Linked DNA regions of Macaca mulatta. The protein of the gene in region 3 purifies or fractionates together with the protein of the main gene of each other region. This does not show direct contact. Links are inferred from orthologs where the notes say so. Each region holds a gene or a part of one and is shown on either strand. Other genes may lie near its edges. The genes, in order: WASL, PDGFRB, NCK1, ARHGEF7, TNIK, GIT2 and ABI1.

The links.
Region 1: the proteins of NCK1 (region 3) and WASL purify together in Homo sapiens (co-immunoprecipitation; 4 studies listed by BioGRID and IntAct, with this or other methods). This does not show direct contact. The link is inferred for Macaca mulatta from reciprocal best matches to the Homo sapiens genes NCK1 and WASL.
Region 2: the proteins of NCK1 (region 3) and PDGFRB purify together in Homo sapiens (affinity purification with western blotting; 3 studies listed by BioGRID and IntAct, with this or other methods). This does not show direct contact. The link is inferred for Macaca mulatta from reciprocal best matches to the Homo sapiens genes NCK1 and PDGFRB.
Region 4: the proteins of NCK1 (region 3) and ARHGEF7 purify together in Homo sapiens (co-immunoprecipitation; 3 studies listed by BioGRID and IntAct, with this or other methods). This does not show direct contact. The link is inferred for Macaca mulatta from reciprocal best matches to the Homo sapiens genes NCK1 and ARHGEF7.
Region 5: the proteins of NCK1 (region 3) and TNIK purify together in Homo sapiens (affinity purification with mass spectrometry; 3 studies listed by BioGRID and IntAct, with this or other methods). This does not show direct contact. The link is inferred for Macaca mulatta from reciprocal best matches to the Homo sapiens genes NCK1 and TNIK.
Region 6: the proteins of NCK1 (region 3) and GIT2 purify together in Homo sapiens (co-immunoprecipitation; 3 studies listed by BioGRID and IntAct, with this or other methods). This does not show direct contact. The link is inferred for Macaca mulatta from reciprocal best matches to the Homo sapiens genes NCK1 and GIT2.
Region 7: the proteins of NCK1 (region 3) and ABI1 purify together in Homo sapiens (co-immunoprecipitation; 4 studies listed by BioGRID and IntAct, with this or other methods). This does not show direct contact. The link is inferred for Macaca mulatta from reciprocal best matches to the Homo sapiens genes NCK1 and ABI1.

The regions. Positions count from the first base shown.
Region 1 is NC_133408.1:163,488,482-163,491,981, reverse strand, and holds part of WASL (actin nucleation-promoting factor WASL), read left to right. Parts: intron 1-279; coding exon 280-388; intron 389-3,500. UniProt on the Homo sapiens protein: Regulates actin polymerization by stimulating the actin-nucleating activity of the Arp2/3 complex. Involved in various processes, such as mitosis and cytokinesis, via its role in the regulation of actin polymerization.
Region 2 is NC_133411.1:159,105,459-159,108,958, reverse strand, and holds part of PDGFRB (platelet-derived growth factor receptor beta), read left to right. Parts: intron 1-2,175; 5' UTR 2,176-2,181; coding exon 2,182-2,221; intron 2,222-3,351; coding exon 3,352-3,500. UniProt on the Homo sapiens protein: Tyrosine-protein kinase that acts as a cell-surface receptor for homodimeric PDGFB and PDGFD and for heterodimers formed by PDGFA and PDGFB, and plays an essential role in the regulation of embryonic development, cell proliferation, survival, differentiation, chemotaxis and migration.
Region 3 is NC_133407.1:39,868,716-39,872,791, forward strand, and holds the start of NCK1 (SH2/SH3 adapter protein NCK1), read left to right. Parts: upstream 1-1,276; 5' UTR 1,277-1,375; exon of another isoform or gene 1,376-1,806; intron 1,807-2,782; exon of another isoform or gene 2,783-2,956; intron 2,957-4,076. UniProt on the Homo sapiens protein: Adapter protein which associates with tyrosine-phosphorylated growth factor receptors, such as KDR and PDGFRB, or their cellular substrates. Maintains low levels of EIF2S1 phosphorylation by promoting its dephosphorylation by PP1.
Region 4 is NC_133422.1:105,627,477-105,630,976, forward strand, and holds part of ARHGEF7 (rho guanine nucleotide exchange factor 7), read left to right. Parts: intron 1-1,022; coding exon 1,023-1,161; intron 1,162-1,967; coding exon 1,968-2,027; intron 2,028-2,765; coding exon 2,766-2,912; intron 2,913-3,500. UniProt on the Homo sapiens protein: Acts as a RAC1 guanine nucleotide exchange factor (GEF) and can induce membrane ruffling. Functions in cell migration, attachment and cell spreading. Promotes targeting of RAC1 to focal adhesions. May function as a positive regulator of apoptosis.
Region 5 is NC_133407.1:82,744,236-82,747,735, reverse strand, and holds part of TNIK (TRAF2 and NCK-interacting protein kinase), read left to right. Parts: intron 1-1,867; coding exon 1,868-2,017; intron 2,018-3,500. UniProt on the Homo sapiens protein: Serine/threonine kinase that acts as an essential activator of the Wnt signaling pathway. Recruited to promoters of Wnt target genes and required to activate their expression. May act by phosphorylating TCF4/TCF7L2.
Region 6 is NC_133416.1:117,161,295-117,165,254, forward strand, and holds the start of GIT2 (ARF GTPase-activating protein GIT2), read right to left. Parts: upstream 2,801-3,960; 5' UTR 2,660-2,800; coding exon 2,608-2,659; intron 1-2,607. UniProt on the Homo sapiens protein: GTPase-activating protein for ADP ribosylation factor family members, including ARF1.
Region 7 is NC_133414.1:28,130,678-28,134,177, reverse strand, and holds part of ABI1 (abl interactor 1), read left to right. Parts: intron 1-1,790; coding exon 1,791-1,891; intron 1,892-3,151; coding exon 3,152-3,232; intron 3,233-3,500. UniProt on the Homo sapiens protein: May act in negative regulation of cell growth and transformation by interacting with nonreceptor tyrosine kinases ABL1 and/or ABL2. May play a role in regulation of EGF-induced Erk pathway activation. Involved in cytoskeletal reorganization and EGFR signaling.

The DNA.
Region 1 (3,500 bases), on a different chromosome or scaffold from region 3:
GTACTATTCAGGAGAGGGTTTGTTATCTGAATATAAACATAGATTTAGAAATGTATTGTTGGCTTATACATTAAGATGGAAAGGAAATATTTTTGAATAATATCTTTAAGGCAGCAGTTTGTTTCTTGTTAATTTAATTAATCTTGTCCTGGACTTGCCAGTTTAATATCTTTTTTGTCTTTTACGATAATAAGTCATTCTAAGAAAGTAGGACTTTCTGGAGACAAAGATTCTTTGCTAAAGATTTATTACTGAGTTTTGCTAACTTTCTTTTCCAAGGTGTCTGATGGCCCAGAGTCTACACCACCAACACCTGCACCCACTTCAGGAATTGTGGGTGCATTAATGGAAGTGATGCAGAAAAGGAGCAAAGCCATTCATTCTTCAGGTAGAGAGAGAGAGAGAGAGTGAGACAGAGTGTGTGTGTGTTTAATAAATTTGAATGACATTCTGTTATTTTTATTTTATGACTGTCTTTGCTAGCTTTCTCTCTGCTAATTGAGTAACTACTGATATGGGCTCTAGGGTGTATTTTAAAAAGTTGTTGCCTCTGTGACTAGTCTGAGACTTACCAATGCAACACCACCACAGCCATAGCCATAAATTGAAAGAACAGCTTTGGGAATATTGACCGTTTTGTTTCCTATATCAGGAAATGCTGATAGACTTCCTAGCAAACAACCTCTAAACAAAGCTTGAGCTTTTTGGATCTTATTACTGTGACATAAAAGATTCAGGGCTGGGTGCAGTGACTCATGCCTGTAATCCCAGCAGTTTGGGAGGCCGAGACGGGTGGATCACCTGAGGTTGGGAGTTCAAGACCAGCCCAGCCAACATGGAGAAATTCCGTCTCTACTAAAAATACAAAAAAATTAGCCGGCGTGGTGGCACATGCCTGTAATTCCAGCTACTCGGGAGTCTGAGGCAGGAGAATCACTTGAACCCAGGAGGTGGAGGTCACGATGAGCCAGGATCGCACCATTGCACTCCAGCCTGGGCAACAAGAGCAAAACTTCGTCTCAAAAAAAAAAAATTAATTAAATATTAATAAAAATAATAATAAATCAGGCTATTTACCTCATCTGTGAGGATTAGGACTAAGAATTTTAAGTAATTTTTACTGTTTCTAGAGTTTGCTAAAGAATACTGACCTTTTTTAAACCTTTATCATTTTCTAAAAGGTTGATTTGAATAAACCAGTACCTATTCTGAGGTTATTGTTAAACATATACATACCACCATATAAATGAATATTGCTTTAAAGAAAGGACAAGAATATGAGTTTTGCTGATTGGAGTGGTTAAGGTTTGCTAAATAGCTTCTCTAACATAATGTGCTAGAAACAGACCTTTCTTCTTCTTAGATTTATTTAATCTCTGAGCCTCAGTTTCTTGTTTGTTACATTCAGAGAATTCACAAAGCATATAGATGTGAGAATTAAACAGTATATCACTAATCAGCAGATTGCCTAGCACATGGTAGGTGCTCAATAAATGTTATCTTCCTTTTGTTTCTCTGTAAGGATGTGCATGTCTTAAGATCCTTGAGCAATGTTTATTTTCCTTAAATAGGCATATTTGTTCCATTACAGAGATAGAGATAAATATTTATTGTGGAATAGTAATAAAATTTTGACAAAACAACAGAAGTCCCTTCCTTCATCGACATGCATTAGGTCTAATGAGAGAGAGAGAGACAAGCAGTAAACAAACTAGAAAAATGTATAGTATGTTAAATGGTGACATGAACTAAGGACAAAAGTCTAACAGAAAAGAGAAATAGGGAGCAGGCTGTTGAGAGAGAGAGAGAGGTTCATTTTGAAATGATAAAGAATGATAAGGGACGATAAAGCCTAACTGAGGTGACATTTAAGAAAAGACCAGCAGTTCAGGAAGTGAACCATGTAGAAAACTAGGGAAAGTGTATCCGATGGAAAGAACAGAAAATATAAAGTCTGTTAGGTTGAGAAACAATGAGGAGATCAGGGAGCTTGCAAGAGAGGGAGGGAAAGAATAGTAAGGAATGAAATACAAGAAGTCATTGGAGACCCCTTGAAGTACACTAGCTTTTATTCTGAATGTGATGGGAAGCCATTGGAGGGTTTTTAGCAGAGGTATAGTAATGATCCAAGCAAGAGATCATGGAGACTTGAACCAGGTTTATAGCACCAATGAGAAGTGGTTAAATATTAGTTATATTTTGAATGTGGAGATCACTGGGTTTGCTGATGGTTTGAAAATGAAAGTTGAAGAAAAATAAGAGTGCAAGATAACTCCAAGGTTTTTGACTTGAACAACTGGAAAGGGGAAAGACTTAGGAAGAAAAAGTTTGAAAGGGAAGATTAGGAGTTTGGTTTTACATATTAAATTTGAGATACCTGTTAATTCAACTATAGATCTGGAGTAGGCATTTGGTTATGAGTCTGGAAGTCACAGGAGAGGTCTGAATTGTTAAATTACACGTCAGTAGGATATACGTAGACACATGGTATTTAAAGTTAAGGTTATATCTATGGTATAGTCTTCTTTAGCAAACTCTAAAAACAGTGAAAATTGCCTAAATTCTTAGCCCTAATCCTCACAGATGAGGTAAACTGCCTGAATTTTTTATGTCATAGAATGTCACAGGAATGAGATTAAAAATCTCAAGCTTTTGTTTCGAGGTTGTTTGCTAGGAAGAGATAAAGAAAGGTCTTCATTCATTCATAAGAAATGTAAGGCTTCTGTGAGATACATGATTCTGAAAATGCATTTATTCTATGCTGGTATCTGTGAGTTCTGCTAATTATTTCCCTACAATACGTTTTGTTTTTTTTTTTTAATAATATATAATAGTCATGCTAATATAATGAAAATATAGGATGGTTTTTACTTATTTTCAGACCCATTTCTTTTAACCATTAGTATTTCTGTGGTAGTACCTTATGATGGAATTATTGGCTACATCTTCCTCTTCACCATAGATACTGATAAGTTTCTGTCTTTTGTCACTCTGTAATGCCAGCATAGTTGGGTGTCTTTGATGCTTTTCATCCAGATAAATTTTGTGAAGCATGTCTAGCATAAGCTAGTAGCAAATTATTTCCCTTGCTAGAAAGTAAACACAAAAATTAACATGAAGTCAGTTGAACTCCTTTCCAAATAAATTCTGTAACAATTTAGAGCTGACCATCAGACTTAAATAAATAAATAATTATTATTGTTGTAAAAGTAACAACTTAGTTTAGGGCTAAGAGAAAATAACGTTGCCTCTCTCAGGCTTCTGTTATTCAAGTTCTAATACTACAACTCCAGTACTACTTCAAATACTACCTTCACACAATCAATTTTATATGGAGAAAAATAGAAGAAAAAGATGGTTCTGTGTTCTGTACATGTAACCCACACATATGTCACACAGTCTTACTGGCTCTTTATCATTACCAAGTACATTACTCAGCTACTGTCTCACTTTATATACTTGGCCTTCATGGGTCCTGTATGTATAGATATATAAATGTA
Region 2 (3,500 bases), on a different chromosome or scaffold from region 3:
TACACCCTCCCTACAGCATCCACACTGCCTGCCTGTCCCCTCCCCACAGCTTGAATCTGCCTTTTTGCTGTGCGACTGGGGCATGCTTCTGTCCTTCTCTGGGCCTCTGCTGCCCATTCAAAAAGCATCCCCCCTAGCTCAGAGTCTCTAAGCTACCCCCAGCCCCAGGCCCAGCAGGAGGGATTCTGAAGGGGAGAGGATAGAGTACCACATGGGAGCAGGGTCGGGGGCTGCATGCCATGAAGGCCCAGCCCACATGGCCAGCCCAGACTTCCAGAGCCAGGCCAGCCCCGCTGCAGTGACCTCCCTTCTCCTGGCCAGCCGGCCAAATTCCTCCTTTAGAATAATAAACAGTGTGGCCAGCCAGGGAGACTGGGAGAGGAGGGGCAGGGAGGCTGAAGTGACCCCCTCCCCCAGCCTCGGCTGCTAATGATTTTCTTTGGCTGAGATCTCTAGCAGGAAGGGGGCAGCCAGAGGGGCACCGATGGAGGGGCAGATGGGCCTCTGTGGGGGCTGCTGGCTCCGCCTTGGCGCTGCTCCCTCCTGACCAAGGAGGCCTAGCATCCAGCTGGAGGGGCTGGGGCAGAGGGATGGTGGGGAGCAGAGGCTGGAGGGGGCGTCAGAAGGGCTGGGCTTCGAGTCAGGAGCAGATCAGAGAGGGGAGAGGAAGAAATGAGGAGACCTTCAGGCAGGCAGTCCGAAAGGGAGCGGGGAGGAGAAGAGCTGATTTGCTCAGACTGTTTCATGGGGTGTTGGGCAGAGCTAAGGTTGGGGCTCCATAGGCTGGGGGAGCCTTGCCTCTGTCCCACCCCTGACATGTGAATGCCGCCCTGGTAGGTACGGCACTCACCATCATCCACTTCCAGAGCTGGGGACTTAGGCCACAGGGAGAGTGATGGTACAAGAGGTGGCGTGCTGGGGCCTGAACCCGGTCCGCAGCCCTAAACTGAAAACTAAAAGGGATGAGATGGGGAGGCGGGGGCAAGCTGGGCATGGCCTTCAGAGGCAGGATAGGCCGGGCAGCCCCACGGCCAGAGGAGGCTCCTTGTTGCCTCGTCACGTCATCACCTCCCAAAGCTCATGCTCTGCGACCCCCCATCCTCTGGCCTCCTTCCTGCCAATGCTACAGGCAGACTTTGGCATACCTGGCTCCTGGTGGTCTCTTGGGACCCGAGGTGTGTCTTCCAAGATAGAGGAGAGCAAGGGCTGCCCCCATTCAGTCTGTCTCTGTCTTTGTCTCTTAGTGCCTCTGTCTTAGTGTTTCTCTTAGTGCTTCTGTCTCTTAGTGCCTCTGGTGCTGTCTCTCTGGACACCTCTTCTCTGTCTCTGTGTCTTTGTCTCTTTCTGCTTCTGTCATTTCAGGTCTTTCTCTGTCTCCCTCTCAGACAGGCTCTGCTGTGGAATCTTGGGCAAATTTCTCACCTTCTCAGAGCCTCAGTTTCTCCATCTGCACCCTGAGAGTAGAGGTGGGGAGCCTGGCTTCACTGGTCTCCAAGGACCTATGAGGCCCGGCTGCTCGAGGGTACCTCTCCTGGGCCCAGCCCCTAGCCACTCTCCCCTGGGCCTCCCTATATGCTCTGAGCTGAGTAAAGGGGTCCAGGCCCACCTCCCACATTCCACAGCCCCGGCTCCCCCGCTTCCCTTCCCACAGCCCACAGCCTCCTCCGTTTCCTGTTGTGCTTGTGGAGCTGCGGGAGTTCTCTGGGTTCTGGCCTCCCCCCTCCTCCTCCCAGGCCTTTCATCACACTTTCCCAAATATTTGTCCTGGCAGATAAGAGCCTGGTATTGGAACTGTCACCCGGAGGACAGGCTGTCAGAGCTGGCAGGCCGCTGGACACCATCCAGCCCAACTTCCCCTCCCTCACTGTACAGAGGGGGAAACTAAGGCTCAGAGAGAGGCTGGGGATGCAGCCGGGGCCACATGAGAGTCACAACCAGAGCCAAAGCAAGGGCCAGGCCCCCTAAGGCTGAATCTGGGGTGGAGAGGAGAGGGTCTGTGGTCTTGAGTGCCCTTTCAGGCTTGGAACGTGGTGGCTTTTGACTTCAGCCCCTCGGACATGAAGGCTGGGTGGCCCAAGCTGGGGCTCATTCTGCAGGAGCCAGGTGGTGAGATAGCTCCTGGCGCTGCCTCCATCTGCCCTGGGCCAGGTGTTAAACTCCTCTTTAACTCTGCAGGACACCATGCGGCTTCCGGGTGCGATGCCAGCTCTGGCCCTCAAAGGTAGGTAGATGGGAGATAAGGTAGGGGAGCTGGGGGGGGCTGCGGAGTGGAACCCTGGAGCTGGCAGGGGTGACGTGTGCTGGTGGCAGGGCGTGAAGCACCAGGCACACTGCCCTGCTCTTCGGCTTTAGTTTCCGGGATTTCCAGTGGGCTCTGTGGAGGCCTCCAGCTGCCAGCCCTTCAGTTCAGAAAGCGTCAGTGGCCCCTGCTTGTCCAGAACCATCAACTCACATCCTTTGATTGGTCCTCCAGACCCCATCCTACCTTCTGGCACACACCCCTGGCCTCCTGGCCTCGGTCTGGTAGATCCGCGGCACCCGGCTTGGACCCCTCATTAGCTGGGAGCTTCCAAGTCCCTGCTGGGCTTCTCAGCACACCCCACCCCTCAGTCCTGTCCATTAACATGTCTTCGGCTCTGCAGGGGCTGAGTGGCTGACCCAGAAATTAATGACCAGCCAGCAGCCTGCCCGGCAGCTGGCTGTCAGATGGACTGGCTGCCTGACTGCCCACCTCCCCTCCTGATCTTTATCACCAGGGGGCATGGAGGGTGTGGCCTGCAAAATCCTTGTTCAGGGGATGTCATGGTGGGAAACCAATCACTTGACACACGCATACCCCCAAACCCAGGCCCCTCCAGCCCAGAGGGGCCTCAGCATCTTTCCTGCCCCCACTCTGAGCTACCTGAGCCCCTCCCTCCCATCCCTCTCCCACCCAGAGGCACCTCTGGGCCTTGGGCAGAACCTGGGCAGTCGGGGGAGGGGGCGGGGAGCTGTAGGGAGGAGGCTCAGAAAGTGACCTGGGAAGCAATGCAGGAACTAGAGGCCAGGGAATTGCTTCCCGAGGATTTCCTGGCCCCTTCTGGTGCCTACTGCCTACACACAGCACTGCTGAAGGATTTAGAGGCTGGGGTCTAAAGGGACTGACATAGGCAGTCTGGAGGAATCCCTGGGGCCCTGAAGCTGGGTGAGTGATCCTCAGAGCCGTGGCTGGAGAGCCCCAGTCTGTCAGATAAAGGAGCTGTGCTCCTCAAGGACTTGAGGGCTGTGCATATGTGGCCTCCTCACAGGCTCAGCCCTGCGAGAGGTGCTGAGGCCCCTGTGCCCTGATGTCTGATACCTCCTCTCCCAAAGGCCAGCTGCTGTTGCTGCCCCTGCTGTTACTGCTGGAACCGCAGGTCTCTCAGGGCCTGGTCATCACACCCCCGGGGCCAGAGCTTATCCTCAATGTCTCCAGCACCTTTGTTCTGACCTGCTCGGGTTCAGCTCCCGTGGTGTGGGAG
Region 3 (4,076 bases):
ACAGCACAGGCTAACCACATGCATGCATTACCAATCAAATAATTTGAAGTTAAATGCAGAAAACTGCAAACTTTTGAGGCTTATAGCCAGGGCCAGGATTAAAATAAATATTAATGCCTTCAACAGTATTTACTGACCATCTACCCTACTACAAGGCCCTAGGGAGAAACTGAACAGACATGGTTCCTGATTCAGTGGAGTTTACTATCTAGGTAGGGATACAGGCAAACCATTTCAATAGCTCGGATGGAGAAAATACCTATGCTCCAAAGAAGGTACCTAACTCAGCAAACTTCCCTGAGGAGCGACTCTAAACTGAGCCACAAAGATGGTTAAGAAATGAGGCGGCTGAGCGTGGTGGCTCACGCCTGTAATCCCAGCACTTTGGGAGGCCAAGGCTGGCGGATCACGAGGACAAGAGATCGAGACCATCCTGGCCAACATGGTGAAACCCCGTCTCTACTAAAAAAAAAAAAAAAAAAAGATGGGCGTGGTGGTACACACCTGTAGTCCCAGCTACTCGGGAGGCTGAGGCAGGAGAATCTCGAACCCGGAGGCGCGACAGAGCGAAACTCGTCTCAAAAAAAAAGAAATGAGGCAGGTACCGGCGAGGGGAAGAACCAACTTACTGATACCTCAGCCAGTGGCTGGAGCCCTAAGAATGGGCAGACCTGGCTCCGAAGGTGGTCTTCATAACACTACTGCCGCCAAGAATGTAATGTAAGTAAGCTGCCCAAGCACAAGGACACTTTTAGCGGGCCCTCAGCTTCTTTTGGTCTGTGCCTCAAATTAAGCACGTCTTACATTTCTCCCAGGTCCCAATTTTCAGGTCTGCTTTTCTTTGTCTTTCTTTGTCGCTCCCCGCTCCTAAGAACCTTTCGCTGGGAAGACATTCCTCAAGTGCAGAAACCGGGGGAAGCTCCCAGAAGAGTGGGCGCTGAACCCAGGACACAGTCATTCTTGCTGTGGAGTCTCTCCTGCGGCGCTGAGAAGGAAGGCTCGAAGTAACCAGCCAGAGCAATCGCACAGGGAAAAGCGAAGACGGTTCTGGTCGGGCCCGGCGCTTCTCACCCTCTAGCTCGCTTCGCTCCTTGGCGCAGCCTCCGCTCCCTTCACACCACGCACGGCGCTTGATTGACATGTGGGCCCGCCCAATCCCAGTGTGGCACAGACCGCTGTCGCATCAGGGACCGGGAAAGGGGGCGACTGAACCTATCAGATTGGGCCGAGAGTGGGTTTCCTGCCCGCGCGGATCCGCCTGCCCACCGCGCGTGCCCCGCCCCTCTCCGAGAGCTACGCGTCGGCGGCAGAGCGCAGGCCTCGTGCCGTTACGGCCATCACGGCGGCCGCGGTGGCGTCCTGGAGCCCTCCTCAGGTGAGCTGGAGCTGCCCAGCTCGGCAGCAGGAAGGTGAGACGGCCTTGCTAGCAGGCAGACACACCCCCACCCCCCTTCAGTCGGCTGTCCATCCACACAGCCTGTTAGCCGCTGCGTTGCTTCCTCTTCCCGGCTGAGTTAGCCCCGGGGGCGCCGTCTGCAGGCTCGGAGCTGAGCCGGAGGGGGCGCGGAGGCTGCTCAGAGGGTCCGAACTTCTGCACCGGGATTCCGCGAGGCCCTCGGGCCGTTGCCCCGGGGAGCGCGACCCTGCGGCCTCCTTGTCAGCCCCTGGAGCGCTGCGTCGGAGTGAGAGCCCGGGCGGCCGCCCCTGCGAGGCTGGGAGGTCGAGTGTGGGGCGCGCTGGCTGACTTGTCTGTTTTCTCCTGAAAAAGACCTTTTGCCAGCTGTGGCGTAATCCGAGGCCGGGAAGGTAGGACGTGGTAGGAGGAAGGGCGCTCTCACCTCCAGCGCGAGAAGAGGGGAGGCGGCAGCCTGCGCGGTGCTGCGGGTGGACATCTTCGGGACGCGCCCTCGCCCCTCCCCCCACCCGCCTGACGTTTTCTAGTCCGGGGCTGTGACTTTAATCGTCTGGACCTGCTTCAGATTCGTACGCGAGTTGCTGGGGCTGTGAACTTTTGACTTGAGTTGTAATATGTTTGGTTAAAAAAAAACCATTTCGATAGGTTTTGTAACCTTTCTTCTATATTAACATGCAAGTTAAATTCGCCGTTAGAAGCTCAGGAAGCTGAGTTTTGTTCAGGGAGGACGTAGAAACCGTAGAAAGGCTCTCGGAGTCAAACTGATGAACTTGGAGTCACCTGATCATAATTATACACGTTAGATTAGGTAAGAAGCCCTAGAAATTAGGAAAGAATGAGGTTAAGGAGAATTTCCTAACCCTTCTTTGGGTGGGGAGCAAAGCAGCTCAATGTCCCTCCAAAACAAGTAAGTGTTGCTAAGAGGTACTCATTTTTAAAATCTTACTTTGTTAGACTTATGACAAACCATCTATAACGATTTCTTGAGCACCTGGAAACCAGTGTGCCTAAACTCTCAGCCTTCAGCGAGGTCACACAGTAAACGGAGAAATAACCTAGGAAGAAAGTTTTGTTCGGTAATTGTCAATAATATTCGTTCTTTTCTTTTTAAAACACTTTATTTTCTTGTGGGAGTGAAGTCAGTGATGTTCTTCAATAGGCATCCCATTCACAACTTGATAGTAATGTGCACTGGTTGATAAATGGTACTGTCTTTTCAATTTGACCACAAACTCTGAGACTTCTTTGGGAAAATTGTGATCTGTGGGAATTGTCTTTAATATCCATAACGATAGTTTGCAGAGTGTTCAGATCTACTCAGCTGTTGGCTCATGTATTACATTTTAAAATGTGTGCTTATTTTTCCAGGCATTATCTTTTGTCCAGATTTCTGCAGTGCCTTCAGGTCCAACTGAATAAAATTTGAAACCTACATGTAATGTTGGCGGGGCGCGGTGGCTCACGCCTGTAATCCCAGCACTTTGGGAGGCCGAGGCGGGCGGATCACGAGGTCAGGAGATCGAGACCAGCCTGGCCAATATGGTAAAACTCCGTCTCTACTAAAAATACAAAAATTAGCCGGGCGTGGTGGCACGCGCCTGTAATCCCAGTTGCTTGGTAGTCTGAGGCAGGAGAATTGCATGAACCCGGGAGTCGGAGGTTGCAGTGAGCCAGGATCGCCACTGTACTCCAGCCTGGCAACAGAGCAAGACTCCATCTCAAAAAAAAAAAAAAAAAAAAAATTTACGTGTAATGTTTTGTTAGATACTGAAGGAGACCCAGGCAGGGTAGTTCAAGCCTGTAATCCCAGCACTTTGGGAGGCCAGGATGGGAGGATAGCTGGAGGCCAGGAGTTTGAGATCAGCCTAGGCAATATAGTGAAACTCTGTCTCTAAATTAAGAAAATTAAAAAAAAAAAAAGGAAAATAATAAAAGAGATATTAAGTGATACTTCATGGTTCTGGGTTTTTTTCTTTACTGTTTTTTTTTTTTTTTGAGACAGAGTCTCACTCTGTTGCCCAGGCTGGAGTGCAGTGGCACGATCTTGGCTCACTGCAACCTCTGCCTCCCAGGTTCAAGTGATTCTTGTGCCTCAGCCTCCCTAGTAGCTGGGACTACAGTGTGTGCCACCATGCCCAGCTAATTTTTGTGTATGTATATATATATATTTTTTTCTTTTTTTGTTGAGACGGAGTCTCGCCCTGTCACCCAGGCTGGAGTGCAGTGGCACGATCTTGGCTCATTCCAACCTCTGCCTGCCGGGTTCAAGCAATTCTCTGTCTCATCCTCCCCTGTAGCTGGGATTACAAGCACCCGCCACCACACCCGGCTACTTTTTGTATTTTTAGTAGAGGCAGGGTTTCATCATCTTGACCAGGTTGGTCTTGAACTCCTGACATTATGATCCACCCGCCTCGGCCTCCCAAAGTGCTGGGATTACAGGCATGAGCCACCGCGCCGGGCCTGTACTTTTAGTAGAGACGGAGTTTCACCATGTTGACCAGGCTGGTGTCGAACTCCTGACCTCAAGTGATTCACCTGCCTCGGCCTCCCAAAGTGCTGGAATTACAAGTGTGAGCCACTGCACCCGGCCTATATTCATTTTTCAAAATTCTTCTAGAGTTTTACCTTTTCATTGTTTTGTACTTTTACTTTGTCTTAC
Region 4 (3,500 bases), on a different chromosome or scaffold from region 3:
TGTGGGTGAAGAGCTGGACCCCTCAGAATCCTGCCCGTGTCCTCTGCCACAGCTGTGGGAACTGAGGACAAAGGTGACGCACGTGAGGACCCACTGTAGGGAAAGCCAGGCGAGGCACCGTGAAGGGAATGGTGAAAGAGGAACACAGGAAGATCTAAAATTTTCTAACTCCTTAATTTTGGGATATGCACTCAGTTTCTTTGTCCACACGCAGGGACCCTTCCGTCCTTACGTGTTGTGAGGATTGAGTGTAACAAAGCTTTTGAAGTTCTGAAGCATAAATCAGCGTTCGCTGTCCGCACGCAGGGACCCCTTCCGTCCTTACGTGTTGTGAGGATTGAATGTAACAAAGCTTTTGAAGTTCTAAAGCATAAATCAGCATTCGCTGTCTGCACGCAGGGACCCCTTCCTTCCTCATGTGTTGTGAGGATTAAACGTAACAAAGCTTTTGAAGTTCTGAAGCGTAAATCAACGTTTGCTCTCTTCTCTTGCTGCTTCTCCCACTCCTCACCCCGAGAGCCATTGTTTACTCCCAGGCTGAGTGCTGGCAGCACCTAGGTGGGGCCTGCTTGCTGGACGAACTCACCTCTGGGAATGACGGCCATTGGCGTGCTCTAGCTCTTTACCGGAGCAGCTGAGTCCTTGTTCTTACCACCTTGAGACTGAGATTACTGGACTCCATTCTGGCTCTGAGCGTGCACGTTTCCATTGGACATGTCTGCATGGCACTGATGTGCCAGAGGGCCTCGGCGTCAGTAGGATCTCATGGAGACCCACACATCCTGTGCTGTGTGTAGTTACTCTTGCTCATATGAGAGCAGGAATGGGACCCCTCAGGGGTGGGAATCCCCTTTGGCATTTCCAGATAAGCAGCGCAGATTTGGGATCAAAGCTGGAGCCTTCCAGATGTTAAAAGCAACACTCATGTTTCATAAATTCTGGCTGTTGCTCGTGGAGATCAGAGAGCCACCATTGCCTCTCATTGCTAACCACAAGTGTCTCCCTTGCCACTTGCTGCCCAGTGAGGAGTTGGGGGAGTTCATGGAGACCAAAGGTGCCAGCAGCCCTGGAATTCTCGTGCTGACCACGGGCCTGAGCAAACCCTTCATGCGCCTGGATAAATACCCTACGCTGCTCAAAGAGCTCGAGAGACACATGGAGGTACCGCACTTTCACTCTCTTACTCGGAGTCCTTACCAAGGGTTAGTGGCATGGTCAGACTTTAACTGTGAAAGAAAGTATTATTCATGATTTATTTTAGAAGCCAGAACCAACAGAGTTTACAAAGAATTTTTACTTAGTGGATTGTCAAAATGATTTTGTTAAATATTATGTTTTTCTCCTTACTCCAGCTCTATTAAAAAACATTTACCACTTATCTCTCTTTTACCCACTGCTGCTGGTTGAAAAGTTTCCAAAAGCTGAAACATGAGAACTGATTTTCAGATAATGTTGAGATGTCTTATCTGGATCATCAGCTACAAACAATGTGTGCATAAGTTATAGGGTAATACTGTACTAATCATTTAATGAATGATTATGCTCTTTTAATTTTGAATAACAGGTTGCATCCTAGCAGAAATTTGGGTTAAAGTTACTCTCTTGGCTTGAGTTGGCAAACCTTTTCTGTAAGGGGGCAGACTGTAGGGTCTTCTTCACAGCTCCACGGCTCTGCCGTTCTAGATACTGCATGTGAGCCGCGGCAGTGTTCCAATAAGACTTTATTGATGAAGCAAGTGTTGGCTTCCCCACCCCTGCTGCTCGTGACTGTTCTCTTTCAACGTATGTTTCCCCCAAGTCTGATGGCTTCATGATTTTCTGAAAGACTGACACTTTAATGCTGAGGGAAAAAGGGAATATTAAGGGTTGAAAAGTATTAGAAAAGTTTCAAGCTGGTCTGTAGAAAGTACCTTTTTAAGAAAAGCTTTTCCTTACGAAAGCTAATTGTATGTTTCTTTTACTCAAAGGATTATCATACAGATAGACAAGATATTCAAAAATCTATGGCTGCCTTCAAAAACCTTTCAGTAAGTGATTAAGCATATTGTTTTTTCCCCCCAGGCATCATTGTGACAAATGAATGTAAAAGAATTATCAACTGAAAAAGTCAAATGATTAAAAAATGACTTGTGCTGACATGAAAGAAAAACAGAGTCGGCATTCTATGGCTGGTAAACTCCTTTTAGCGGACTCTGATAGAATAATTACTTAAAATTTTTAAAATCGCAGTGTAATTGATGTTAGATCTACTTTAAAATTATTTCAAACATTTTTTTACCCTTCATTCGTGTTGTCTTTAATGATTTATTGCAAAACAGAACAATGGTGGTTCCATTTTCTCTGCTGTTGTGTTGTCTTACCAACTGCATTTTCGAAATATATGCCTTATTTTATAGCACAAGTTATGCTTTGTTTCTTCTCTTCAGTCTTCTATATTGGCAAACACTAACAAAACCAGAATGAAAATACAGTTTTGTTCTGTCCACCTTTCTTTTTTGTACAAGTGGCAAAATCTGCTATATTTTTCTAAGATAATACTTAGTATTCCAGAGCAGTTGTGTGCGTTGCTTCTTTTGACTTGATTTCATACTTTCAAGCAAATACTTTCAATTCCGTATAATTAAGTAAATCATTCAACAGATTATCTGTCTGAAGAAGTAAGATATAAAGCAATAATTGTCTTAAGGACGATGCAAAGCAATGTGGCCAGAACTTAAGATTTTGGAAGTTTCTGTCTGTTAACAGTGTTGTTCTGTGTCTCTCAGGCCCAATGTCAAGAAGTCCGGAAAAGAAAAGAACTTGAGCTGCAGATCCTGACGGAATCCATCCGGAACTGGGAGGGCGATGACATTAAAACTCTGGGCAACGTCACTTACATGTCCCAGGTCCTGATCCAGTGTGCTGGAAGCGAGGTACTGCTGCCCACATGTATGCATCAGGGTTTCTGTCCCACTCTTAGGAGCTCGTAACAGAAGATGTTAAAGGCATCTCAGGCAATGAAAAACGTCTAATAGAAGCTCTATCTTATAATTTGTGAGCTACTTTTTATTCTTGACACAGGAGAGAGGCTTATGGTCTGTTAGAGAGGCTTAGAGCTGAGTGTGGACTTGTTGACCAGTTTGTTCCAGCTGAAGTCAGTCTGGCCTGAAACCCACGTGAACTGAAGGATAGCATGCGGAAAGACTTGCCAGGAGTCCCATGCACACATCTGCACGGAGCTGTATGCGCTTATCTGGCCAGCAACTTTGTACCAAGGCTTGCTGTCACAGGGACCTGCCGCTCTCAGTGCTTTCAGGTCATTATACTTTCCTGTGAAAGTATGCTAGCTGACATATGCTTACAGGAGTCACAGTTTTCTTACGGGTTTGGTTTAAGTGAGAGATCAACTCAGATTTTTGGGACATACCCACCCACACAGTGAAAATCGAGCAGTTTGTTTCATGATTCACATTGACATACATTCAGTGGGTCACTAAACAGGCACCTCTTTTTGAATTTTA
Region 5 (3,500 bases), about 43 Mb from region 3:
TGGTTTTATTGTTTCAAAAGTAAAGACTAAGTTAAACTTAGTCTCTAAATCTTTTAATCCTCATAAATTTTTCTGGATGAAGTCCCTAAAATGCAGGTGATGCTTATATGTCCCCAGTGCTAACTTATGGAAATGACCTAGTTTCTCTGCATTCTTCTATTTTGATTGTGTTTTCATTTTTTACCTTGTCTAAGTTTGTACCCACCATGGTTGGATTGGTCACTCATGAGATTTGCCAGGAGTGGGATGGGGATATGCTAGTCCTGTTGACCCCAGCTCATGAAGCTGACACCCGAATACCAGGAGGACCAGTACTTACAGGCACCCAGATGTGTTCAGAGCCGCATAACCTATCCATAGCCCAAGTAAACTTACCTTCTGCTTTCTCTCACACTCCCTGTCTCTCTCAGCTTATGTCTGTCTACTTCTTTGTGTCTCATTGGCTGTTACTTTTTCTCCCCACCTTTATGACTGTTATCTCCCTTTGGTTCCTTATTCATTCTTTTCTGCCACATTCACCATGGAGGGCAAAACCTTAGAACACTATGTAGGCCCACTTCAGAGCTGAATCACTTCTACCTTGTTCCCTAGTGCAGATGGCTTATTTGTGATGTGCTCAGGAAAATAGATTCATTAATGGAAATGGGCTCCCCTCCATAACCTCACTTTTATGGAAAAAAAAAAATTGGAATGCACTAGGTTACTAATAACAATTAAGGGATAACTCCTAAAAGCCAAAGTGTCCTGTTCTGCCAAAATCTGTCTCCACAAAAGCTTTTCAATCAACATCCCATTCCCATTCTTGCTCTGAAGTTACTGCCATCATTTTATGACCCAGAGCACATGAGAGAGTGCAAAATGTTCTTTCTGACAGACCAGATCCAGCCCAGAGAGAGGGAAAAGCAAAGGCAAAGACTTGAACAGGGAAGAGTGGAACTGGCAAGAGGCAAAGCCTTCCCATAGGACAAGGACAGGAGGCTTGAGCTTCCTGTGCTGTCAGAATGGTGTTAGCAAAAGATGAGAAGAGAAGGGTCTGAGAGGTAGCAGTGGCATTATAGCTAAGGCAATCGTAGTTTCACAAATGCTCTCCCAGATCTCAAGGCCCAAAGGTAGAGTGTGGTTAAAAAATAGCAAAGGAAAATGGCAGAGGAACACTTGACAGTTAGGTGGGGCTTGGGCTCTGGATTCAAACACAGAGAACTTTCACAAACTTGACAAGACCTCTCTTTTTGCTTTCTAGTTAAACCCAAATAGTCAATGCAAGCCATCAATCTTGTGATGTTCCACTCTCACCTCTTTCTCTACCACCCAAACCCAAGTCTCAGATTCCAACATTAAGAGAAAGTGCCAATCTTATGCCCACTCATTCGCTGAAGAAATTCCAAACCAGAGCATGCCCATTAACACTGAACAGGCTGAGAAAACAGCCGGCCTTGGCTGTCCCTCCCAGGCTGTCTTTGAAAGGGTAATTGCTATGGATGGGCCTCACTGCCACATGGGAAAGAGAGGGGCCAGAGAGGTAACTGGGCCTTCTTCCGAGGACAAAGGCCAGAAATAAACAGGAAAAAACAGCAGCACCCAGGCACCAGGTCTTTAATATACATTACCACTATCAAAATTTACACCTGTGCACCAGCTTAAACTTCATTGACCTGGAGGACAAAGGGTAGGGAAAGGGGCAAAAATGGATGCTAGACCCTTCCTCCTACAGCCAGAATATCAACAGACCTAAAACTGAAAGAGAAATTTTCTAGCTTTTCACTTTAATAAAGTTAGGAGTTAACTTCCTCTAGACAGTGGCTAAAGGAAAAAAATTATTAAGATACCTCTTTGAGTGATGCGGATACTGATGGGGTGATTTTTAAAGTCTTTTGCAGATCTCCAGCACAAGCCTCTGCTAGTTGATCTCACGGTAGAAGAAGGTCAAAGATTAAAGGTTATTTTTGGTTCACACACTGGTTTCCATGTAATTGATGTTGATTCAGGAAACTCTTATGATATCTACATACCATCTCATGTAAGTACCCAGAAGTAGACTTCCAAGGAATCTGTGTACAACAGCCTGCATGTAGAAAGAGATTTGTTTTGCACAGTTTTAGTAGAAGTCATGCAAACTTTACTAACCAGCAGACGGACTTTCGTTCTTCATTAAGTATACTGCTTTTAATAACTAAAATACATAAATTTAATTTACATGACTTCCTAAAACTGGAGAATACATAATAGAGATCATTTGGCATTTACATGTTGTCTCATTGGACTTTAGATTAAAATGAATATGATATTTTTCTTTCAAGAGCATGAATTATATTCGGTAGACGAGTTTCCACATTCAGTTTTTGAAGGGAAATTGGTTCATTTTATGTTAGAGAAAGCCAATGGTCAGGTACTAATTTATTGGAGAAAATTCTTTTTTTTTGCTATCTTTAGTTCCTTACTTCAGCTTGAGGGCAGCGTGGTATAGTGGAGTCAGACACAGGGGCACTCATACTCTGGCTCTAGCATGTATTAGCTTTGCAATAATGGACACAGTAGGCAGCCTCTCCAATCCTCAGCTTTCACATCTGTAAAATATGATAAAAAGACTTATCCCATAGGATTATCATTAGTATTAAATGAGGTAATGGATCTAAAGCAGTTGGTACAGGGTCCTGCAAATTATATATCTTACTAGCCCTAAAATATTCATATTACTATCCTGACATATTGCTTGAAACATAACTGTTAAAGGGAAATGCTGCACATGGATTCACTTATTAGGATCAGTGTAGTGTAAATTGTGTGTCCTGTGTGTAATTCCAAGGCTAACATACAGGAGAAACTATCAGGAATGTTTGAAGCTACTGCTGACTGGTATTTTGAGAATTTGAGGACTTTATTCTAATGAAATGCAATAACTAAAAGAAGTTGTTTTAGTATATTACATACACACACACGATTGCCATTCATTGCTGCATTATTACAGCTTTTAACTCATGTGTATGTGGGTGAACACAAGGATTCACAGCTCACATTCCTGGTGAGGCAGCTAAGGCATAACTGTGATCATCCTCAACTCTCTTATTCCAATCCATCAAGCACATGTTGGTCAGCCATGGCATTCGCAACTACGGGGATCACAACATCACATTTCCTTTCCTAGAACAAATTAATATACACTGATTTCAGTAGTGATTTTTTTTTTTATTTTTTGAGACAGAGTCTCGCTCTGTCACCCAGGCTGGAGTGCAGTGGCGTGCCTTGGCTCACTGCAAGCTGTGCCTCCTGGGTTCACACCATTCTCCTGCCTCAGCCTCCCAAGTAGCTGGGACTATAGGCACCTGCCACCACGCCTGGCTTATTTTTTGTATTTTTAGTAGAGATGGGGTTTCACTGTGTTAGCCAGGATGGTCTCGATCTCCTGATGTCGTGATCTGCCCATCTTGGCCTCCCAAAGTGCTGGGATTACAGGCATGAGCCACTGTGCGCAGCAATAGTGATTTTTTTAAATGACTGGTAAT
Region 6 (3,960 bases), on a different chromosome or scaffold from region 3:
CAGAGAATCAGTGAGGTACCTCACACATAGTAAAGTAGTAACGTTAGCTGTTATATCTTTTCTAAATTATTTTCTCAGTAATACAGATATTTTCTAGATGTGAAATTCACGATCACTGGAAAAAGTTTTTGATGGGAAATATTTAAAACATTGAACATTTCATGTGACCACTATACTACTGTATTGAAAATCTCCATGGAGTTGTCAAGTAATTGAACTCAGAGTGTGATGTATTTGAAACGAACCAGATTCATTAAAAAAACAAACAAACACACAAAAAAATAGAATATTTAAGAAGTGATCATGGTTAAATGTTTGCATAAAATAGAATCAAAATAATTCAATTTATTATAACTGTCACTATTACTATATCATCCTAAAAAGCAGAGATTGGAAATGTCCAGATGAAGGAGCTCTACAAAGATGCATAACAACACTGCTTCCTGCGGTATAGTACTGTCACTAATGGCCAAAAAAAAAAGACTGTTTTGAAGCATACCTTTGGTTTTCACTTATCATTCAGAGGATTTGCACTATTCTTTTTTTAGCAAGTATTTAACACATATTAATTAAGACAAGTATTCGACTAACCACTTTAGCATCCTGGATCAGAATCCCATGGAAAGAATATTAGAATGATAACGTGGTAAAATAAAAATAAGTTTGTATGAATGAGATTGGGTAAAACCCTTTAAGTTCATCTGGAGGCTTTATGCCTGGGCTCCAGGGACACCACAAATGAACTTCAAAAATGTCCGTGACTCCCCTAGACAAATCTTAGGTAAATTCGTTCACGTGCATTTTAGGGGAGAAGGCCTTAGCATTCATCAGAATCTCAAAGGGGTCCCTAACCCTACAGGTAATTCTCTCAGTAGGGTTTTGCAGAAAAGGCAGCACAAATTCCAGGCTGCTCAATTTCACAGAATATTTCAAGGTAGCCTACTTATATTCAAAACAGGAAGGAAGTGACTCAAGTCTCTGCAGATCAGGCGTATGAGACAACAACTAAAGCGATACAATGGAAGAGAAAATGTTCTGAAATGCACAAAATGCTGCAAAAGTATATTTAGGATGGCAATGGAGGAACAATTTTGCTTTGCCCCGTACCCCATCAAGAAGCAAAACAATATGCATTCCAAGAGGAAGTTAGAAGCTGGACACATGTGAATCAAACACATCACAGAAAGTTCGACTGAAAACAGGCAAGAAAATAAGGAAGTGGAACAAATAACATTTTTAGAGAAAACGATGGAGTTTGAGTTTGTATAACTCACACTAACTTGGTTTAGAAAACGCTTCTTTTTAAACTCCTCCACACCCCCTCCCTATCTTCAAAGGAAACTGGTAACACCTGCACTGTACCAGCCATTAAAACCACCACATGAGGTTTGAGTTATCACAGTTCTATTTACAATCAGTCTTCACTTCCAAATGACAAGCTGAAGATCAGAACAGTTGCAAAGCCAGTGGTGTTCAATGATTTGATTAAGATTGTTTATCGGACACTATTGTGCCAAGAAAGCCATGTTACCTTCGAATTAACTCAAAGCCAATACATCCAAGCACCTAAAACAGCATGTAATAATCTATCCAGAGACCTGACAATTCAGTTGCAATTGCTGAGATCCGCTTGATCTCTAAATGTGAATATTATGTATGAACAGTTATGCATCATTATGAAGGAATGGTTTAGCGTTTCAATGCCCCTATATTGCTGGTGATTTTGCGTTTGTTTCAGTTGTAATCAACGTATGATTTAGATAGTCAATTCTAGCTTTAAGGGACTGCAAGTGTTCTATTGTAGACAGCATAACGCAAAAAAGAAAAGCCTTAGATGATATGATCCTACGAGTATTCATTGAATCCTCCTCACCACTGAGCGTGATACTCCCGATTATCCTCATCGAAAAAAATGAGGAAATCAAGCCAAGTGACCAAGTGAAGTCACCAGCCCAAGGTCACCCAGAAGCAAAATCTAGTTTGAACCCAGGCCATTCAGATCCTCAAACTTGAGACACGCACTGCCTCCTAAGTGCTGGTTGTGTCTGGAAGACCCCGATCTACTGGCAATTCTCCCCGACAGAGTAGCTGTCGGATGTCAGGAGCGGAGAAGTCATCTACGGGGACCCTCTGGCGAGACTCAGGGAGTGTCATCCTCCCCGGGCAGGGCACCCAGGCGGAGAGAGGGTCTAGTGGGAGGTGACACCTGCAGCCTCTGGAGGCTGCAGCCGGGAGGACGCTCGCATTTTACTTCTGTAATTGGCTTTCCTGTGTATTGCCCAAGCCCCTTCCTGTTGGGGGAGCAGCCCTGGCCCCCGTCACCTCCCCAGCTGGCCTGGGACGGAGGGAACGGGAGGGAACTAGAGGGAACGAGAGGAAAGGGAGGGCCGCGAGGTACTGGGAGGGCGGCGGCCCCCTGCCCGCCAGGCTCTGACAGGCCTGGGACACGTCCTGCCCCAAGGCCGCCCCGGGACCTCTTCGTTGAGACCCTAGTAGCGGGTTGCGGACGCTTGACCGCAGGATGCCGCCTGACCTGAGTGGGCGGCCCCGGGGTAGGGGTCCGGGCCAGGAAAGCAGAGGGGAGCGGGCCCGGCCGGTGCGACTCACCCGGCCCGCTGCAGTCAGCGCACACCTCGCTGCTCCGGAGCCGTTTCGACATGGCTCCCGCCTCCCACCTGCCGGGAAGTAGAGGCCCGGGGACAGCAAAGGCGGCGGCGGCGGCGCTTCCGCTCTAACGGGTCCCAGCGGCAGCGGCGCTGACGGCGGCGCCTCTCCCCTCAGTGCCTTGCAGCCTTGGCATAGCACGCAAGCGCGGGGAGGCGCCCTTCTGCGAGTGTCAGGTCATGTGACCGGAAAGGGCACGCTGCCTTGTCGCCATCTTGAGTGAGGGCAGGAGACTGCTGGAGCATCATCTGTCCTACCTTTAAATATTGAATTTGGATCTCCCTCTCTGGCAGAGATTCCCCTCGTCCCAACTGATTAATACCAGGGGAAGCAGCAATATCTTGTGATGAGAACCCTGCAGCCACAACCTTCCTGAGGCAATCAATGGTCAAGTTCATTGATTCATTCCTTTATTCAACAAATATTTATCGGCCGGGCGCGGTGGCTCAAGCCTGTAATCCCAGCACTTTGGGAGGCCGAGACGGGCGGATCACGAGGTCAGGAGATCGAGACCATCCTGGCTAACACAGTGAAACCCCGTCTCTACTAAAAAATACAAAAAACTAGCCGGGCGAGGTGGCGGGCGCCTGTAGTCCCAGCTACTCAGGAGGCTGAGGCAGGAGAATGGCGTAAATCCGGGAGGCGGAGCTTGCAGTGAGCTGAGATCCGGCCACTGCACTCCAGCCTGGGCGACAGAGCGAGACTCCGCCTCAAAAAAAAAAAAAAAACAACAAATATTTATCGAGTACTTACCATGTTTTATACAATGTCCCAGCCACTGGAGAAACAGCAGTGAGCAAAGACTGAATTCCTAGTCCTTATGAAGCTTGCATTTTACTGAGGTAGATAAAGTAAAATAAGAGTGTATTATATGATTCCAGGCTAGGCGCGGTGGCTCACTCTTGTAATCTCAACACTTTGGAAGGCTGAGGCAGGCGGATCACTTGAGGCAGGAGTTGGAGACCAGCCTAGGCAACATAGTGAAACCCCATCTCTACTAAAAATACAAAAATTGGCCGGGCACGGTGACTCAAACGCCTGTAATCCCAGCACTTTCTGAGGCCGAGGCGGGTGGATCACGAGGTCAGAAGTTCAAGACCAGCCTGGCCGAGATGGTGAAACCCCGTCTCTACTAAAAATACAAAAATTAGCCAGGCACAGTGGCAGGTGCCTGTAATCCCAGCTACTTGGGAGGCGGAGGCAGGAGCTTGAACCCAGGGGGTGGAGGTTGCAGTGAGCTGAGATGATGCCATTGCACTCCATTCTGTCTCAAAAAAAAAAAAAAAAAAAAAAGAT
Region 7 (3,500 bases), on a different chromosome or scaffold from region 3:
TATTAGAACAGGGATCAGCACACGTTTTCTATAAAGGGCCAGATTGTCAATATTTTAGGATTTGTGGGCCATATGGTTTCTGTTGCAATTACTCAGATCTGTCATTATAGCACAAAAGCAGCCATTGACAATACGTAAATGAATGTGGCTATGTTCCAGTAAAACTTTATTTATAGCACTGACATTCTAATTTCATATAATTTTAATGTGCTACAAAATATTATTCCTCTTTTGATTTTTTTAACTATTAAAAAATGTAAAAGACATTCTTAACTCACAGGTAGTAAAAATCGGGCAATGGACCAGTTTTAGCCCACAGGCTGTAATTTGCCAACCCCTTGTTGGAAAAAAGACAGTAATTGAAGAGGAGCATAATAAGAGGATAAATACTCATATGTCTATGATGCAGTGATGGCACAAAACTAAGTGTTGATCACCTGGCTTGAGGGAGTTAGGGAGGTCTTCACATCTAAGCTGTGTCTGTTATATAAATGGCTTTTTTCTTTTTCTTCCATTAGCATATGATAATCTAATTATAGAATGATCATATTGCAGAAGAAAATAAAAATCTTATCCAGGCATTGCAAATCTTTGCCCTTTAAATTTCTGGGCTCATTGAGCAAATCATGTAGATTTTAAAACATAATAGGGAGCGTAAGGATACATGTACACAAATATATGTTTTTACACATGTACACACATTACTATAAACAACTAGATGGCATAAGATCTAGTTGTTTGTGCCATACCTTACAAGAAGTAAGGCTTGTGCCATACCTTACTAGAAACAACTAGAGAGAGCCACGTCCTACAGCTAACAGGACAGTACATCCACAGGAAGTAGAATAGTAGTGAGGAGTTGATTAGAGTTTATCAGTAGCAACTATTCTAGAATGACCACACTGAAACTTCACTATTGTCTTTCTTTGTCATTATGCTTATTTTCCAGAAAATGTTTGTGTTATCACCTTTCTTTGAGATGAGAGGAAGTTTTCATATTAATTTTAGACTAGAATGGATTACCCTTTTAATTTACTTCCACATTATTTGTACTTTCTCTTTTGTTGTATCTGTTACATTACCTTTTCATGTCAGTTTTCCCATTATGAGCTTCAGACAGTGTGGTTCATCACTGCATTGCTCACTGCTCTTCATAGCAGGTTTTGAATAAACACTTGTTGACTCATTGTACTGTAAGATTTTGTTGGTGATAAATATTTCAGCAGAGATGGTTTTAAGTACTGTGTTATCATTATATTGGTTCCAGATAGGTTGAGAAGTAGAGGAAACCATTTCAAATATTAGGATTAAGGTTTGTGATGAATAGTTAAAAAAATTCTTGTTACACGCACACACATGCACACACACACACACACACCCCCTCCCATTCCCTTCCTCCCTCCCTCTCCCCTCTCTCCCTCCATCTCTCCTTCCCTTCCTCCCTCCCTCCTTCCCTTCCCCGCTTCTTCTCTCCCTCCCTCCCTTCCTTCCTCAGGTTCTGCGTTCCCAGAGTCAGCCCGTCTCAGGTTGAAAATACAGTATTCATGGGATGCAGACCCCGTGGATACAGAAGACCGACTTTTCATATCCGCTGGTTCTCTAGGGCCAGCCGCAGGACTTGAACATCCATGGGTTTTGGTATCCAAGGGGGTTCTTGAAAACAATCCTCCAAGAATACTGAGGGGTGACTATATGACATAAAAGGAGTATTCAGTGGCCTTGGGTGATTACAGTTTTTTTTTTAATATGTCTCTAGAATTGGTTTTTCACAATTTTTTTTTTCTTTTCAGTGGAAGTAGCGGAGGAAGTGGAAGTCGAGAAAACAGTGGTAGCAGTAGTATTGGCATTCCCATTGCTGTGCCTACACCTTCGCCACCCACTATTGGACCAGGTGTGTTATTTATTAATCTGTGTTTAATACGTGATAATATTTATGAGCTTTATTGTGGAAGGCTGAAATAAATTAGTCACATTGAGTAAAATTATTAATTAAATTTGTGATTGTTGCTAGAATAAAGGCTGATAACAAATTTAACAATGTTTTTAGATTGTTTTTCACAAAGTCTATAGGATTTCGCCAGCTGTTTCTCCTTATATATACTGTATATTAAGTAGTTTTGTTAAATAACTTTTTGTTAGCCATTTTGCTTTAGAAATGTATTCATTCCTCAGTGTCCATAGGGGATTGGTTCCAAGGTCCCCTGCAGATACCAAAATGCATGGATGCTCACGTCCTTTCTATAAACTGGTGTAGTATTTGCATATAACCTACACACATCCTCTCATATTGTTTAAATCATCCCTAGATTACTTATAATACCTAATACAATATAAGTGTTACTTAAATAGTTATATTGTATTGTTTAGGGAATAGTGACAAGAAAAATAAGTCTGCACATGTTCAGTACAGATGTAGCCATCCCCTTTTTTCCCCGAAATATTTTTGATCTATTATTGATTGAATCCAGGGACGAAGAACCCCATGGATATGGAGGGCTGACTGTATTTGCCTAGCATACTAGTCAAGAATGACATTTATTATTTCAAGAGCAAACCAGTATTGTATGATACTCCAGCTGGAGAATCAGTGTCTATAAAGGTGAATTATGTTTCTAGGAGTTTTAATGTTGCCTTGCAGGCCAGTATCTGCTCTGGTGGTTGCTTATTTTGTGACTTTACTACATTTATCTGTGATATTCAATATATATTTCAATAAAATGCAATACATGTAAAATAAGATTAAGATAGGAAAGTTATTTTACTTTCAGAAAGTATGAAAATTTCAAAAATCCTTGGAGGGCATTAAATTAGCCTCTTGATTTTTAGTAAATGAAATGGAGACTTTTTATATTGTTAAAATGTATATTTTAAAAATATGATAATGAAAAATGTTAGAAAAAAATTCTTAGCTTTTCAAGCATATTTTTGAAAAAGGAGAAAAAGCCACTTATAAACATAGGCATATTTGATAGTTAAGGCAGGTATAAATTTGGTAGCCTCTTTACCTACAAAATTCATACTCATTTGAGCATGCTTTACATGTGGGTATCTTTTTTCTTTTTATTTCCAATATATTGTACTTTCTTGCTGTTTCAAAATGTTGAGTTTTCTTTTCTTGTACTCTGACCTGAATTATAAACTATTTTATTAGAAAACATTTCTGTCCCTCCTCCTTCTGGAGCTCCACCAGCACCACCTCTGGCACCACTTCTCCCAGTGAGCACTGTGATAGGTGAGATTGCATAGCCATTGCAGCCATTGAACTCACTTTACATAATTCATAATAAACTCCTCTGTGCTAGTAGAGTGCTAGCATTTATAGTTATTAGGTTGCAGGTGATAATACAAAGATTAAAGTATTAAATCTAATATCACTAACTTCTGGTGAAAGGCTTCTGCACTTACACAGTAAACAAATATAAAACAACTTTTTCTATAATATGAAATGCTTGGTTTATAACCAACTTAATGTGTTTTTTATTTGTTGTTTGTTTAGATTT